Nothobranchius furzeri: one gene and its partner. The protein of the gene in region 2 binds, or shares a complex with, the protein of the main gene of each other region. Links are inferred from orthologs where the notes say so. Each region holds a gene or a part of one and is shown on either strand. Other genes may lie near its edges.

Evidence for each region. Proteins that work in one complex are often made in the same cells at the same time.
Region 1: striatin (region 2) and programmed cell death protein 10-B share a complex: the UniProt entries of both Homo sapiens proteins name them as parts of the core of STRIPAK complex. The link is inferred for Nothobranchius furzeri from reciprocal best matches to the Homo sapiens genes STRN and PDCD10.

Annotation. Positions count from the first base shown.
Region 1 is NC_091758.1:24,818,799-24,825,764, reverse strand, and holds part of programmed cell death protein 10-B, read left to right. Parts: intron 1-1,318; coding exon 1,319-1,436; intron 1,437-1,536; coding exon 1,537-1,663; intron 1,664-2,559; coding exon 2,560-2,638; intron 2,639-2,721; coding exon 2,722-2,804; intron 2,805-6,966. UniProt on the Homo sapiens protein: Promotes cell proliferation. Modulates apoptotic pathways. Increases mitogen-activated protein kinase activity and STK26 activity. Important for cell migration, and for normal structure and assembly of the Golgi complex.
Region 2 is NC_091752.1:1,674,593-1,681,558, forward strand, and holds part of striatin, read right to left. Parts: intron 5,527-6,966; coding exon 5,383-5,526; intron 5,297-5,382; coding exon 5,160-5,296; intron 5,046-5,159; coding exon 4,870-5,045; intron 4,766-4,869; coding exon 4,718-4,765; intron 4,647-4,717; coding exon 4,525-4,646; intron 3,033-4,524; coding exon 2,865-3,032; intron 2,773-2,864; coding exon 2,632-2,772; intron 186-2,631; coding exon 1-185. UniProt on the Homo sapiens protein: Calmodulin-binding scaffolding protein which is the center of the striatin-interacting phosphatase and kinase (STRIPAK) complexes.

The DNA of each region.
Region 1 (6,966 bases), on a different chromosome or scaffold from region 2:
TTTTATTTATTAATTTATTTATTTTTAGGAATTTTATACTAAAGTAATGAAATAGTTTCAGGTTTATATTGCTCATCCTACATTAGGGGTGTAACGGTACACTAAACTTGTAATCGGTTCAGTGGTTTGAAGAGCTCGGTTCGATGAATTTTCGGTATATTATTATTAGATTATTTATTTAATATCTGAAGGGGCTCCTAGTGAGCAGAACCAGGTGTCATCACAGGCTGCTAATCTAGCATGATGTATTTAATTATTTCACAGGTTATTAGCACCACAGACATATATACGTAGATGCCCTGTGGTCTGGCGCTGTCTTTTGGAGATGCCGTAATGGCCGACTGCCATTTTAGATAGATTAGCCCCCAGTGCATTCATTTCAACTGAGCAAGGTGCTCACCCAACTAAAAAACATGTTTTATCAAGCATTTTCACAAAATCAAACACAAGGTACGGCATCATAATTAAAATATAATTAAATAAAAAAAAAGATTAAATATAAAATCTTATCTGGTAGACTAGAAAAGTCACTAGTAATCCCACATGATCTGTTTTCAATAGTACGCTGCTTGTTAGGCTGCACAGAAACAGGCATAGTTGCTCACTCTACACTGACTTTGGAGAGTGAGGAGACCCATCTAACATGGTGGCGACACTGGTACACTCTCCAGCACCCAATGGGGCGTCTACGTATTTATGTCTATGATTTGCACAGCTCATTCTCATACAGACGAGTGTTGTGTTAGACATGTTTTTATTTCTTAAAAACTCGCCTCACACCTCCCAGAGTTTCTTCTTTAAAACTCGTATTAAATAACGAGCGTCCTCTGCGCCAGATTTTTCATTGTAAGATGAAATCTGTACATTAGTTGTCACAGCGGAAAAGTTCAGCAGACATGTTTGTTTACATGTTTGCCTCTGCGTGTCTGCACACTGTGAGAGAAGGGAGGGAGAGGCGACACAACGCTCCGTTCAGAGTCTCTACACAGACTCCACAGTAGCAGCGACAGTCAACTGGTCTGATCCGCTCTGAAAGACATTGATAAGAATTTGCAGATCACATTTTAAAAACGGAGACCGGGCACGTGCAGCCACCATGCGTCACTCAATACAGGGTCCGTGCGGAAACTCGCCTAGGAACTTTTATCTGCTGCACTTAAATCATGCAAATGTGTGAAAAATTCATTATTTAACATAAAAAATAAACCGAAACGCTACGCAAGAGGACCGAACTGAACTGCCCGAACCGAAGCGGTTCGAATAACCCCCATGAACCGTTACACCCCTACCCTACATGCATGTTTGACCTCGTTTACAGGCGGAGAGGGAGAACCCTGGTCTCACACAGGACATCATAATGAAGATCTTGGAGAAAAAGAACGTTCAGATCAACTTCACTGAATCTCTGCTGCGCATGGCGGCGGATGATGTTGAAGGTAAGTTAAGGAAACGATGTTTTGGGTTTTCTCGCCCTAATTTCATGTTTGTTTTTTTGAGCGTGTTGATAAATGTATCTGTGGGAATGTTCTCCTGCAGAGTTCATGATCGACAGGCCTGAGCAGGAGTTCCAGGACGTAAATGAGAAGGCCAGAGCACTGAAACACATCCTTAGCAAAATCCCAGATGAGATCAATGACAGAGTACGCTTTCTACAAACTATCAAGTGAGTGTCTGCAACTTAACACACGGGTTTTTAAACCATCTAGAGCAGGGGTGTCAAACTCATTTTAGCTCAGGGGCCACATTGAGGGAAATCTAGTCCCAAGTGGGCCGGACCGGTAAATTAAAAAATACTTCAGATTGTTTTCTTTGTTTTAATACAGTCAATATAAAACAAGGCTGGAGCCTGAGGACAGTGTAGTACAAGTACAACACCTGAAGTGTACTTGAAAATTTGAAAAAAATTTAAAAATCAACAAATAAAAACATTCCTTAGTGATCCAAAGAGCTTACAGATCACATGGCAAGATCAGTTTCATGCAGCACTTAAAGTATATTTGACTCATTTTACTTTACATCTTTTAGCTTTCACCAGCACATCAATATCAGAAGTCACATCCCGAGTGGCAGCCAACTTCAGGATGTGACTCAAGTTCTTGTGTGGGCCTTGAGCACAGCTTTGTTTTATTTATACTCATTACAGAGAAAACTTGCTCACAAAGATAAGTTTATTTTAACTCTACATTGTAAAGTATGAAAATAAAGTTTACACATCCGGCCCGCGGGCCGCATATTTGACACCCCTGATCTAGAGCAAGAGTATTCAATGCCGGGCATAGAGGCTCCATAGGTGCTTCGTCCACTAAATCAAGTATGTTTGAGCAGAGAAACCACAAAAACATGCTGGATACCGGCCTTCCAGGCCCAGAATTGAATACCCTGATCTAGAGACAAGTTACCTTAAATATCTTGTGGATCAGAGAAATCAGTTCTGAGGTTCTTCCCAAGTCGATATCAGAACACTTTTAATGATTGTTATGTAAACATAGAGCCTCGTGTTTCATTCTGAGTAGTTGGTTTGAAGTTCTGTTTCTTATCCAAGTTGCATTCTGTTCACAGAGACATAGCAAGCGCCATAAAAGACCTCCTGGACTCGGTCAATGCTGCCATTAAGAGACACCAGTACCAGACTCGCAGAGTGAGTAGTGGAGCATGTCTGTTAATGTTTAAAATCTTATCTTTGCTTCTGCTAATCATTCCTTACTTTTAATGCTCATAAAGCCCCTGGAGCACCAGAAAAAGGAGTTTGTGAAGTACTCGAAAAGCTTCAGTGACACCCTCAAAACATACTTCAAAGACGGAAAGTAAGTGTGACCCCTGATGGTATGGAAGAGAACAGGAGAAGATTTGTGTTTATTGTGTAAAACACACATTACCTGGCTTTAGACCCTCGAGTCAGTCCAGTTTATGCTGCTAAGTTGAGCTTTCTTGTTCAGAAAAGGAAATCTAGTGAATTAGCTAATTAATGTCTGATGACTGATTTTATTTTTAGTGAACTTTTAGTGAACTTCCCCCAAAACACACACCAGAGCAAAAAATAAAAAGAATTGCATCAGCACAGCTAAAGTTATTCAAAAACACAACTGCCTGCACAGAAAAATGCACGAGGGACCTCTAAGGGTCAAATTTACAGTCAGGTCCATAAAAATTGGGACATCAACACAGTGCTAACTTTTTTTGGCTCTATACACCACCACAATGGATATCAAATGAATCGTCAAGATGTGATTTAACTGCAGACTGTCAGCTTTTATTTGAGGGTATTTACATCCAAATCAGGTGAACGGTGTAGGGATTACAACATTTTGCATATGTGCCTCCTACTTGTTCAGGGACCAAAAGTAATGGGACAATTGGCTTCTCAGCTGTTCCATGGCCAGGTGTGTGTTATTCCCTCATTCTCCCAATTACAATGAGCAGATAAAAGGTCCAGAGTTCATTTCAAGTGTGCTATTTGCATTTGGAATCTGTTGCTGTCAACTGTCAAGATGAGATCCAAAGAGCTGTCACTATCAGAGAAGCAAGCCATCATTAGGCTGAAAAAACAAAAGAAACCTATCAGAGAGATAGCAAAAACATTAGGCGTGGTCAAAACAACAGTTTGGAACATTCTCAAAAAGAAGGAACGCACCGGTGAGCTCAGCAACACCAAAAGACCCGGAAGACCAGGGAAAACAACTGTGGTGGATGACCAAAGAATCCTTTCCCTGGTGAAGAAAACACCCTTCACAACAGTTGGCCAGATCACGAACACTCTCCAGGAGGTAGGTGTATCTGTGTCAAAGTCAACAATCAAGAGAAGACTCCACCAGTGTGAGGGTTCACCACAAGATCTAAACCATTGGTGAGCCCCAAAAACAGGAAGGCCAGATTAGAGTTTGCCAAACAACATGTAATAAAGCCTTCACAGTTCTGGAACAACATCCTATGGACAGATGAGACCAAGATCCACTTGTACCAGAGTGATGGGAAGAGAAGAGTATGGAGACAGAAAGGAACTGCTCATGATCCTAAGCATACCACCTCATCAGTGAAGCATGGTGCTGGAAGTGTCATGGCGTGGGTATGTACTGTATGGCTGCCAGTGGAACTGGTTCTCTTGTATTTATTGATGATGTGACTGCTGACAAAAGCAGCACGATGAATTCTGAAGTGTTTCGGGCAATATTATCTGCTCATGTTCAGCCAAATGCCTCAGAACTCATTGGATGGCGCTTCACAGTGCAGATGGACAATGACCCAAAGCATACTGCAAAATCAACCAAAGAGTTTTTGAAGGGAAAGAAGTGGACTGTTTTGCAATGGCCGAGTCAGTCACCGGACCTGAATCCGATTGGGCATTCATTGCACTTGCTGAAGACAAAACTGAAGGGAAAAGGCCCCAGGAACAAGCAGGAACTGAAGACTGTTGCAGTAGAGGCCTGGCAGAGCATCACCAGGGATGAAACCCAACGTCTGGTGATGTCTATGTCTTCCAGACTTCAGGCTGTAACCAGTGTTGGGCAAGTTACTTCAAAACGGTAATGCATTATTTACTACTTGTTACCCTCATTTTAAAGTAATTCATTACATTACAGTATTACTGATTTGAAAATGTAAGGCATTACACTACTTTTGCATTACTTTAAGCTACTTTCAGCAAAACAACTTCAGTATGAATCTGGTAATCTGACGCTCAGTGAGCTCATGACATATATGTGGAAAGTGATGTGGTGTCTGAGCTAGGATTGCTGTTAAAAACAGTCAGATATAATAACAGTGCTTTAAAATGATTGTTTATTAATTAAAAGCAACAACAATCTGTACTCTCAGCATGCTGCCATCTTATAGTAACTGAGCAGGGAGTGAGGTTCAAAATTCAATTCAATTCAAAAATACTTTATTAATCCCAGAGGGAAATTGATTGCTGTAGTAGCTCAGGATAATAATAATAATCAAGTCGTCAAAGAGTTATTGTATATTACAATGGCTGTTGGCAGGAAGGATCTCCAGTAGCGGTCAGTGTTGCATAGGGATGGGTACCTTTGACATTTGAATCGATCCGGTACTAATTACCGGTACCTAGGAATCGATACCGGTACTTAACGGTACCAATTTTCGATACTTTTGAGTGTTTATTATTTTAATTCTCTTTTATAATTAAATATATATTTTTCTCAATATATAACAATATTTGATAAATATCACGATAACATACAACTGTTTGTATTTTAACATTGTCCTTGTAGTTTTATAAGCCCATAATTAAACTGAAGCAAACATCTTTACTGTGAACTAAATTTACTGTGTATCTTCATTCCTTTTGCCATCTTTTTTCATTTGATTTTTGCTACTGGGAAGTTAGAATTTCCGAGGAGAAAGCGAACGCACCATTAGCTGATAACAATGGTGGCAATGGAAGCTAACATATCAAGCTAACGATATCTTAAACAGTTTATTTAGCTGCTGGAGCAGATTAAAACGATGATGCCTCACACTTAGATCGTCACTGGTTTCGTCTTCACCCGTCACATTTAGTAAAGTGAAGCCAAACTTTAGAGCGCGTTCATGTTGTTCTAGTCGGAAATTCGGAGTTCCGAGGAGAAAGCGAACGCACCATTAGCGAAACGGAAGCTAATATATCAAGCTAATTATATTTACCTACCGGAGCAGATTAAGATGAGGATGTCTCATTTAGATAGTTGTCGCTGGTTTCATCATCCAGTTACCCATCACATTTAGTGAAGTGGACCCAAGCTTTAGCCTGCGTTCTCTCTACCATGCTGCTCTGTTTACAACTGGTTCACAGCAAGCGACGACAAAACGCTCCTGCGCATGCGCAGCTGTCTTGGCAAGTTCTCGTTAGGATGGACGGGTACCGAAATGAGGCACCGTTTGAAATGACGTGAATCGGTGCTCGGTCGGTACTATGGAATTCGGTCGGTACCTTAAAAAGTACCGAATTCGGTACCCATCCCTAGTGTTGCAGCGAAACTGAAGAAGCCTCTGACTGAAGACACTCTTCCGTTGTCGGACAGTCTTGTGAAGAGAATGCTCAGGGTTGTCCATCATTTTCTTGATTCTCTGGAGAATCCTTCTTTGCATGATCTCCTCCAGTGGTTCCACAGTCGTCCCCAGAACAGAACCAGCCTTCTTTATTAGGCTGTTGAGCCTTTTCAGGTCCCTGCTGAAATGGGGTGATGACAGGTGATGGGGGCTCCAAGCCTATATTTGACTTGGTCCCCAAATGCCTTGATAGGGCCCTGGATGTGGGACTGACTTCTATCACATGAATAAATATTAAATGCTTATATATTATTGCTTGTCACTAGTAAAACTGTGTATTGGGTATAAATCTACCTAATTTTTTTCTTTTTTTTTTCTTGATTTTATTTGAATAATTTTCTGCCCTTTCTCTCTCTAACCTTCCTGCATGCTGCATGTTTTCTCCGTCTTCCAGAAAATCTGTTTCCTAGATTTCCTACTTTCTAGCTAATCAGCCAAAGGGATCTACCAAACGCAAAAATAAATAAATAAATAAACAAATAAACGCTTAATATGCGCTGCGCTCCAGCAGCAATGAGTTGAAATCACCGGGGCACAGATTATGAACTCAGCTGAAAAGTACATGAAGTACGAGAGAGTATGGGCTTATATAAACGATCACAAACAAATTTGTTTTGGTGGAGTGATTTTGTGAATATAACAGCGGCCGCGTGCAGCACACTGCTGGAGTATTTGAGCCATTACCGCTGCGTCCTCTCTGCTCATAGAATGCCCACAAAGCTGAGTCCATAAATGACGTCATATATGACGTGGATACTGGATCTTTTTTCAGGCTTCCCGCTATTTGAATTTTTAGGAAACCCACATCTTGATTCTGGGTTTAAAAATGCCTTGTAATTACTGCGTTACTGACAAATACCGAGTAGATATTACCATTTTCTTTCCCTGTAATGCCTTACATTACCACATTACAGCAAAAAG
Region 2 (6,966 bases):
AGACATGAGATAGAGCCCGTTGGGATCCACAGCCAAGCTGGTGACCGCGTCCAGGTGGGCCACCATGGAGTGAACCAGCTTCCCGCTGTTGTTGTCAAAGAACTTGATGTGCCTGTCCTCCTGGGCTGTGATGGTGATTGGAAGAGTGGGGTGACTGAGGACTTTGTTGATGTGACAAGGGGTTCCTGGTTTGAAAACAAAACAGAGAAATTCACAAATACCAGTTATGGGTCCTACGGTGATAAGAAGCTAATATCCATGCACTAGAGGTGAGCAGATTCACCACTTAATCTATGATCAATTATAGATTCATAAACGTTCATAATCAATTATAAATAAACGCCAAAAAACTGCCGTGAAGCGCGATAGGAACATAAGTTACTCACGCCGCCCAGACACTTTAGAGCAGGGGTGTCAAACTCATTTTAGCTCAGGGGCCACATCGAGGGAAATCTGGTCCCAAGTGGGCCGGACCGGTAAATAAAAAAAAAAAACTTCAGATTGTTTTCTTTGTTTTAATACAATCAATATAAAACAAGGCTGGAGCCTGAGGACAGTGTAGTAAAAGTACAACACCTGAAGTGTACTTGAAAATTTGAAAAAAAATAAAAAAAACAATAAATAAATAAAAACATTCCTTAGTGATTCAAAGAGCTTACAGATCACATGGCTAGATCAGTTTCATGCAGCACTTAAAGTATATTTGACTCATTTTACTTAACATCTTTTAGCTTTCACCAGCACATCAACATCAGAAGTCACATCCTGAGTGGCGGCCAACTTCAGGATGTGATTCAAGTTCTTGTGTGAGCCTTGAGCGCAGCTTTGTTTTATTTATACTCATTACAGAGGAAACTTGCTCACAAAGATACGTTTATTTTCACTCTACATTGTAAAGTATGAAAACAAAGTTTACACAACCATCTCGCGGGCCGGATTTAACCCGCTTGCGGGCCGGATTCGGCCCTCGGGCCGCGTATTTGACACCCCTGCTTTAGAGGGACGGACCAGCGGAAAAAACAAAACCGCTAACATGGAAGCTTCTTATTAGCTTTAGCCACTGAGCGTGAGATGTACTCATCAGGAGGATTAAAGTAAAGTGTGTAAAACTAAAATCAAATACCACAGCAACACCACCGACTCGCGACAGCACCTTACACAATTCCATCCTGGGTTGGACGACAGGAAGCTGGTGGTCGTTGATCCTAACCAGCCGACACTCGAGGAAGGATTAGCAAAACTTTCCCGCAACTCCGGCCTCTTCAAGAAACTCGGCGTTACTTTGCTGCAGAGCTGAGGCAGCACCAGGGAGGCTTTGGTCGTTTATAAGTGGTGAGTCTGTAACGCCATCACGTGTTTTCACAAAGACTACGTGATGGTGGGACAAAGTGTGTGTGTGTGGGGGGGGGGGGCATCTCTGCGCCCTTTAGCTTGAACCTAACTCGCTTTTTATACAACATGAAGTCTTCACGAGCCGCTCCAAAAGGTGTTTGTTCGTCACAATCCCACATGAGCTGTCAGGGGACGTAAAGACCAGAAGCATCGCTCCTGTTTTCTGACTCTCAGCTGATTTGGTTTTAAAAAAATAACTGACATGTTTGCTTTCATTTTCCACGTTAGATTTCATGCAAACCTACGCAGGGTATGTGTTCGGTCGTACATAAATAATTTAGTGGAGTAAAAAGTATTTGGTAACTTCAATTATTTTGAAAGAATCAAAGGAAAACTAAACAATGGCATATTGCATTGGAGAGAGTGGTAACCATGGTGATCGTTTAATCATCTAAACGGGTCTCTCTCCTACCAAGCGAAATACGAAAAACGTGCGTGTGAATTTTTGCGCTCGTGCGCGTGTCGTGCACAGGCGACCCAGCGACGCGATCCCAGAAAGTTGAAACATTTTCAACTTTTCATCGCTGTCGCTCGGACGAGGACCAATCAACGGAGGTTTCATTCACTGACCAATGAGCGGACAGGATGCTCCGTGCATCTCCGAGCAAACATGGAGGAGACGTTGATACTTGCTGTGACGGGTTTCCCAGAACTGTAGGCTACAACATTTCTACCAAAGAATATAGAGATATTCAGAAAAAGGCTGCGGCGTGGGTCCCTCATTAAATGACGGTACTCTTCGATTCCTTCTCTGGTTTGTAATATGGGATGAAACCATTCTGGGGGGGTGTTTTATAGAAAAATCAGAAGTAAGATTTCACATAACTCTAGCAGCACCTTGTGAAACATCATATCTACCGCTTTATTAACTCTGAACCGCTTAAATAACCTTAATTCCCTCCAACCCGACACAGCCAATCAAAACAACGGAAGTTTTGATTTCGCCATGGAACAGAACGCGTCGACGGCTTCGCCGCTGGCCGCGGGTCGCCTCCCGCGTGTCGAGCCCATTAATCAGCGATGATTGAGTGCGGGTGGGCCAGGAGCCTGAATGCACACACACTGGTTCCAAAAACAACATAAAACAGGATGTTTTGGTTTCACTTTTCAACAACGGTGATTGGTTATTTTGGGTTGATGACGGAGACAAAGAACCTCTGATGTGGAGCAGGAGCTAGAAAAACCTGATGACCTGCTACAAACAACACCAGAACCCAACACGAGGCTTGAAAAACGTACCCGGCTCCAAACCGGACTCCAGACTGAGGACCAGCTGCCGGGTCTCCATGTTAAAGAGGCCGATCTGCCCATTAGTGAAGGACGTGACCAGGTGAGCCGGTTCGCTACACACCAGGTCTACAGAGGAGGGGGTTCCCAGCTCTGGAACAGAAACAACGGTTTTATTCCTGCTTTTAAACCCCTCCCCCAAAAGAGAGGTGAAATTAAAATCCACAAATAAATAAATTCTGTACTTTTGTTTTCATTGAATAATGCAAGGGCCGGAGAGGTGGTGTTGGCGTCCCAGAGCCTCACGGTGCCGTCTGCGGAGCAGGAGAGGAGGCGTTGGTGTGTGCTGCTGTACACCAAACCCCAAACCGAGTCGGTGTGTCCACTCAGCTCGCCACGCAGCACCGCCGGGTCTGTTGCACGGAACACAGAATATATCAGCTTAAACCAGGCGTGTCCAAACAGCAGTTCGGGGGTTGATCGTGGTCCTCAGAGTGGTTTAACATTTCTAGAATGATGACTTTTCCTATCCAACATGCTGTTGTTGTAGATCCAGACTTTCTAACATCTTTATGGTCAGATTTTTACTAACATGCATATTTTGGGAAGCACAAATTAAAACAAGACCATTAAATAATGGTTGCAAGTTTGAAGAATAAAAGAAAATCACATTTTTGTTGTCCAATAGGAAGTGATGTTTTTCAGGAGCAATTTTTACCATAATGCTTGAAATACTAGGGCTGGGCAATAAATCAGATTTATCGTTATAATTTCTGACATTTTTGTTTTTTCCACGTCTCAACATAACACATGTAACAGCCCCATCTAGTGGGCAACTTTTGTTTCTGCGCATATATGTAGTTACCGTCCATTTATCGTTGTTGAGGTGAAATCCTCCATACATGGTGATACTGATGTTAGGCCGTATCTCCCAGCCCTAACGGCAACCATGTGAGACAAGCACAAAAAACCTCACCCGATCATTGTGAACGTCCTGTTCTAAATGACTGCTTCTTGCTCCACCCATCAAGCAGCCATGATAAATGACTCGCACTTGTATAAGCGCCCCTCTGAGTCAGAGGACTCCAAAGTGCTTTACACTACATTGTATCAGAGTAGACAAGGTGGGATAATGATTAAGATCCCATAGTTGTCACACACACAACACACACACACACACACACACACACACACACACACACACACACACACACACACACACACACACACACACACACACACACACACACACACACACACACAGGGTTCAACCCCCCCAATCCAACCCCTGCTGAGTGTCAAGAAGGGAGGCATTGGGTCCCATTCTTATAAAGTCTTTGGTATGACCTGACTGGAATTTGACCTCCGATCTCCCAGTCCCGGGGCAGACACTCCCCCACTAGGCCACTGAGCTGGTCGAGGGTTGAGTGTCTTGCCCAAGGACACAACAGCAGAATTCTCTAGCAGAGATGGGATCGAGCTTGCGAACATCCGATCACTAATCCGCTCTCCCTCCCGAGCTACCGCTGCCCCTAAGCCCTGACCCTTTTGTGAGGTTTTCCCAGATTGCTGGTGCTACCGAGCTGCTGGGATTTTGAAGCCAACAAACCAAGAAAGCTGAAAGCACCTCCTTCTTCTCCATAAAAATGCCACACTACATTAGCTAGCATGCTAACTAGTTAAATGGCTACGTTGGTGCGTTACGTGAAGAATCATGGCAGAAAAGGGGCCAACAGTGGGTCGAAAGTGTAATACTGAACCTTCAGGAACAAGTATCGTGTATATTCAAAAAGTAACGTGAGTGAACGGCACAAAAAAAAACTCCTATTCCACCTTCAATGTGAAAAATGTGGCCCTTGACTTAAAAAGTTGGACTAACTATAGAAACGCAAACAGGAAGTTTACCGTAGGAGTCGTAAGGATCGATGTTGGGGTTGGGAGTGTTCCAACACTGGATGGTGCCGTCTACCCCTCCACTGAAACACTGCTCCCCTGTGCTGCTCATAACAACACTCAGTACAGCTCCCCTGCAACAACAGAACATTTACACCAAACATACCATCCATCAAATCAAGTAAAAACTAAAGGTGAGCTTTACCTGTGAGCTCTGAACGTGTAGATGGGTTCCACATCTAAAGACGTACTCCTGCAGAGAACAAGTTCAACAAACACTTTAAGTCCCTTTAAAACAACCCTGGTGTGTAAAATGTTGCTCTTTCTAAACTCCATCCAGAGAGGAGATGGTCTTACTTTTTAGCGGGAGTGGTCTTCTGAAGGTTCCACATTTTGAGCGTGTGGTCCTCTGAGGCTGTGATGAGGACGGGCTCCACGGGGTGGAAGGTAAGAGCGCGGATCCCGTCGAAATGACTCCTCAGGGTGAACTTGGGGTTCCACGTCTTCCTCATGGCGTCCTTGTTGTTGCCGATCTGAGGATGGAATGTTTTACAGTGGTGTGAGTCGGACATTTTGACGTATTTACATGCTCGAACAAGATTAACGCCAACTATGGTGATGAAGCTGAAAACATTCTCCCCACTCACATCGTAAGCGAGGCTCTCAGCTTCGTTGGCCACTGTAAGTCCTGCCAGATCTCCCAGGCCCAGAACGCTCTCCATCGCCTCATCCGTCCCGATAATGAACGACTTTCCTGAGGTGGGGGGGAAAGTAAGCGCCTCAACTAGAGAAAATAGAATTTAAAAAGTCAAAACAGCTAAAAAAATAGTGTTTTTTTATTAACGGTTAATTAAAAAAAAATAAAGGTACCTTCTTCCGTCCGGTTCCCCTCGTGTTCGTTGAAGCGAGCCACATTGGGCCGGGACTGCGGGGCGGACGGAGGCTGCATGTGAGACAAGTCCTCTACATCTCTCAGGTTAGCCAGCATGTCTTGCAGCTTGGACCGGTTGGGTCCTGTTAACAGGTCCGGTTACAAGTTAACACAGCGGACTCACAGTGGAGGCGAGTGGAAAAAAGAAACCAGAAAACTGCAAACAGGCAGCGAAACAGAATGAATATGGAGGGGAAGCAGCACCCAAAGGAAGAAAAACGTATCTAATAACCAAAGCTGGAGATAGGAGAGTCACCAAAGCTGGAGATAGGAGAGTCACCAAAGCTGGAGATAGGAGGGTCAGCAGAGTCCTGTGAGGTAGAACAAGTGTTCAGGCACGTTTATCGGTTAGTGTGAACTGTGTGGAGAGACTTGGTGAAAAAGACTCACGCCAGGATGAAGTTTCAACTAGAAGTTTATTAAATCTAAGAAAAACTTTAAGTCAGTCAACTAATCGCCTTTACTTACATGTCCACTATGTAAGAATGAAGAAAGAATGACATCCTGTGGTCAAAACGCGGATACTGCGGCCCATTTTCCTGTAATCGGAAGGTTGCAGGTGCAAGACACTATAAAGTAGCTTTCCGGAGGTTTCCCCTTTCAGAAATGATGTATGATTATTCAGAAACCCGTACAAGTGATTGTTTTATCATGTACTGAGTGTAGAGGGGTAAATAGTGTTGCTTTTCACGTTACGTGTGATATAATGTAAGCAAAACTTCTTCTTTTATTTATTTTTTTTGCTAAGCACGGCCCCTGCCCCACAGAGCTCCACGCAATAGCAAACATAGGGCCGACCAGAACTAACCAATGGCGTTAAACTACCGCTTACCTGCTTCAATTTTAAGGAATACCTCGGCTGATGCAGAGTTGATGAACTTTTCACGGACAAGAAAGTCTCTAAAATATAAATATACGAGAACACAACATGACATGAGAATAATACTCGTAAAACTGCATGTTTTAGCTCCGTTTGTCAGCTACAGAAACCCATTCATAAACAGGAAACGTGAGGTCGCCATCTTAAAAAAACAGATCCAGAGACCCCAAGAAGGCGCTATAGGGAGCCTAAGTCTACTTCCGCATCGTGGGTCTCTAGAAGAACGAAAAAATGAATGAATACAAGTCAACAGGGCTAAAAACGCTATTTTCTAATTCGCTTTGCCGTACGCCCTGGATCGCTCATATGTCGTACTGCATTTTAAATGAAAAGTAATGATGGGTGTTTCAACCACGCCAGTCACGTACTTTTGAGTTTGATTAGCTTGTAAAGGTTCGTAATTAGCATGACTACAAACCAGAAATCGGCAAGTCGCATATGTGGTGACATCACCACATAATCTCCTCTCCCCAAAGTGGCTGCTACTTACCAAATGACCAGATTTATGGTTGTTCTTTCCTCCTGTGGGAAGTTTGCTGAACTTACAGCCCTTTTCACTCAGTTTTCTCCCGTGTCTGGTTCGTTGACGTCAATTTCATGAAGCGCGTTTGTAGTCCTGGACTTATTTTCACACAAAACCTAA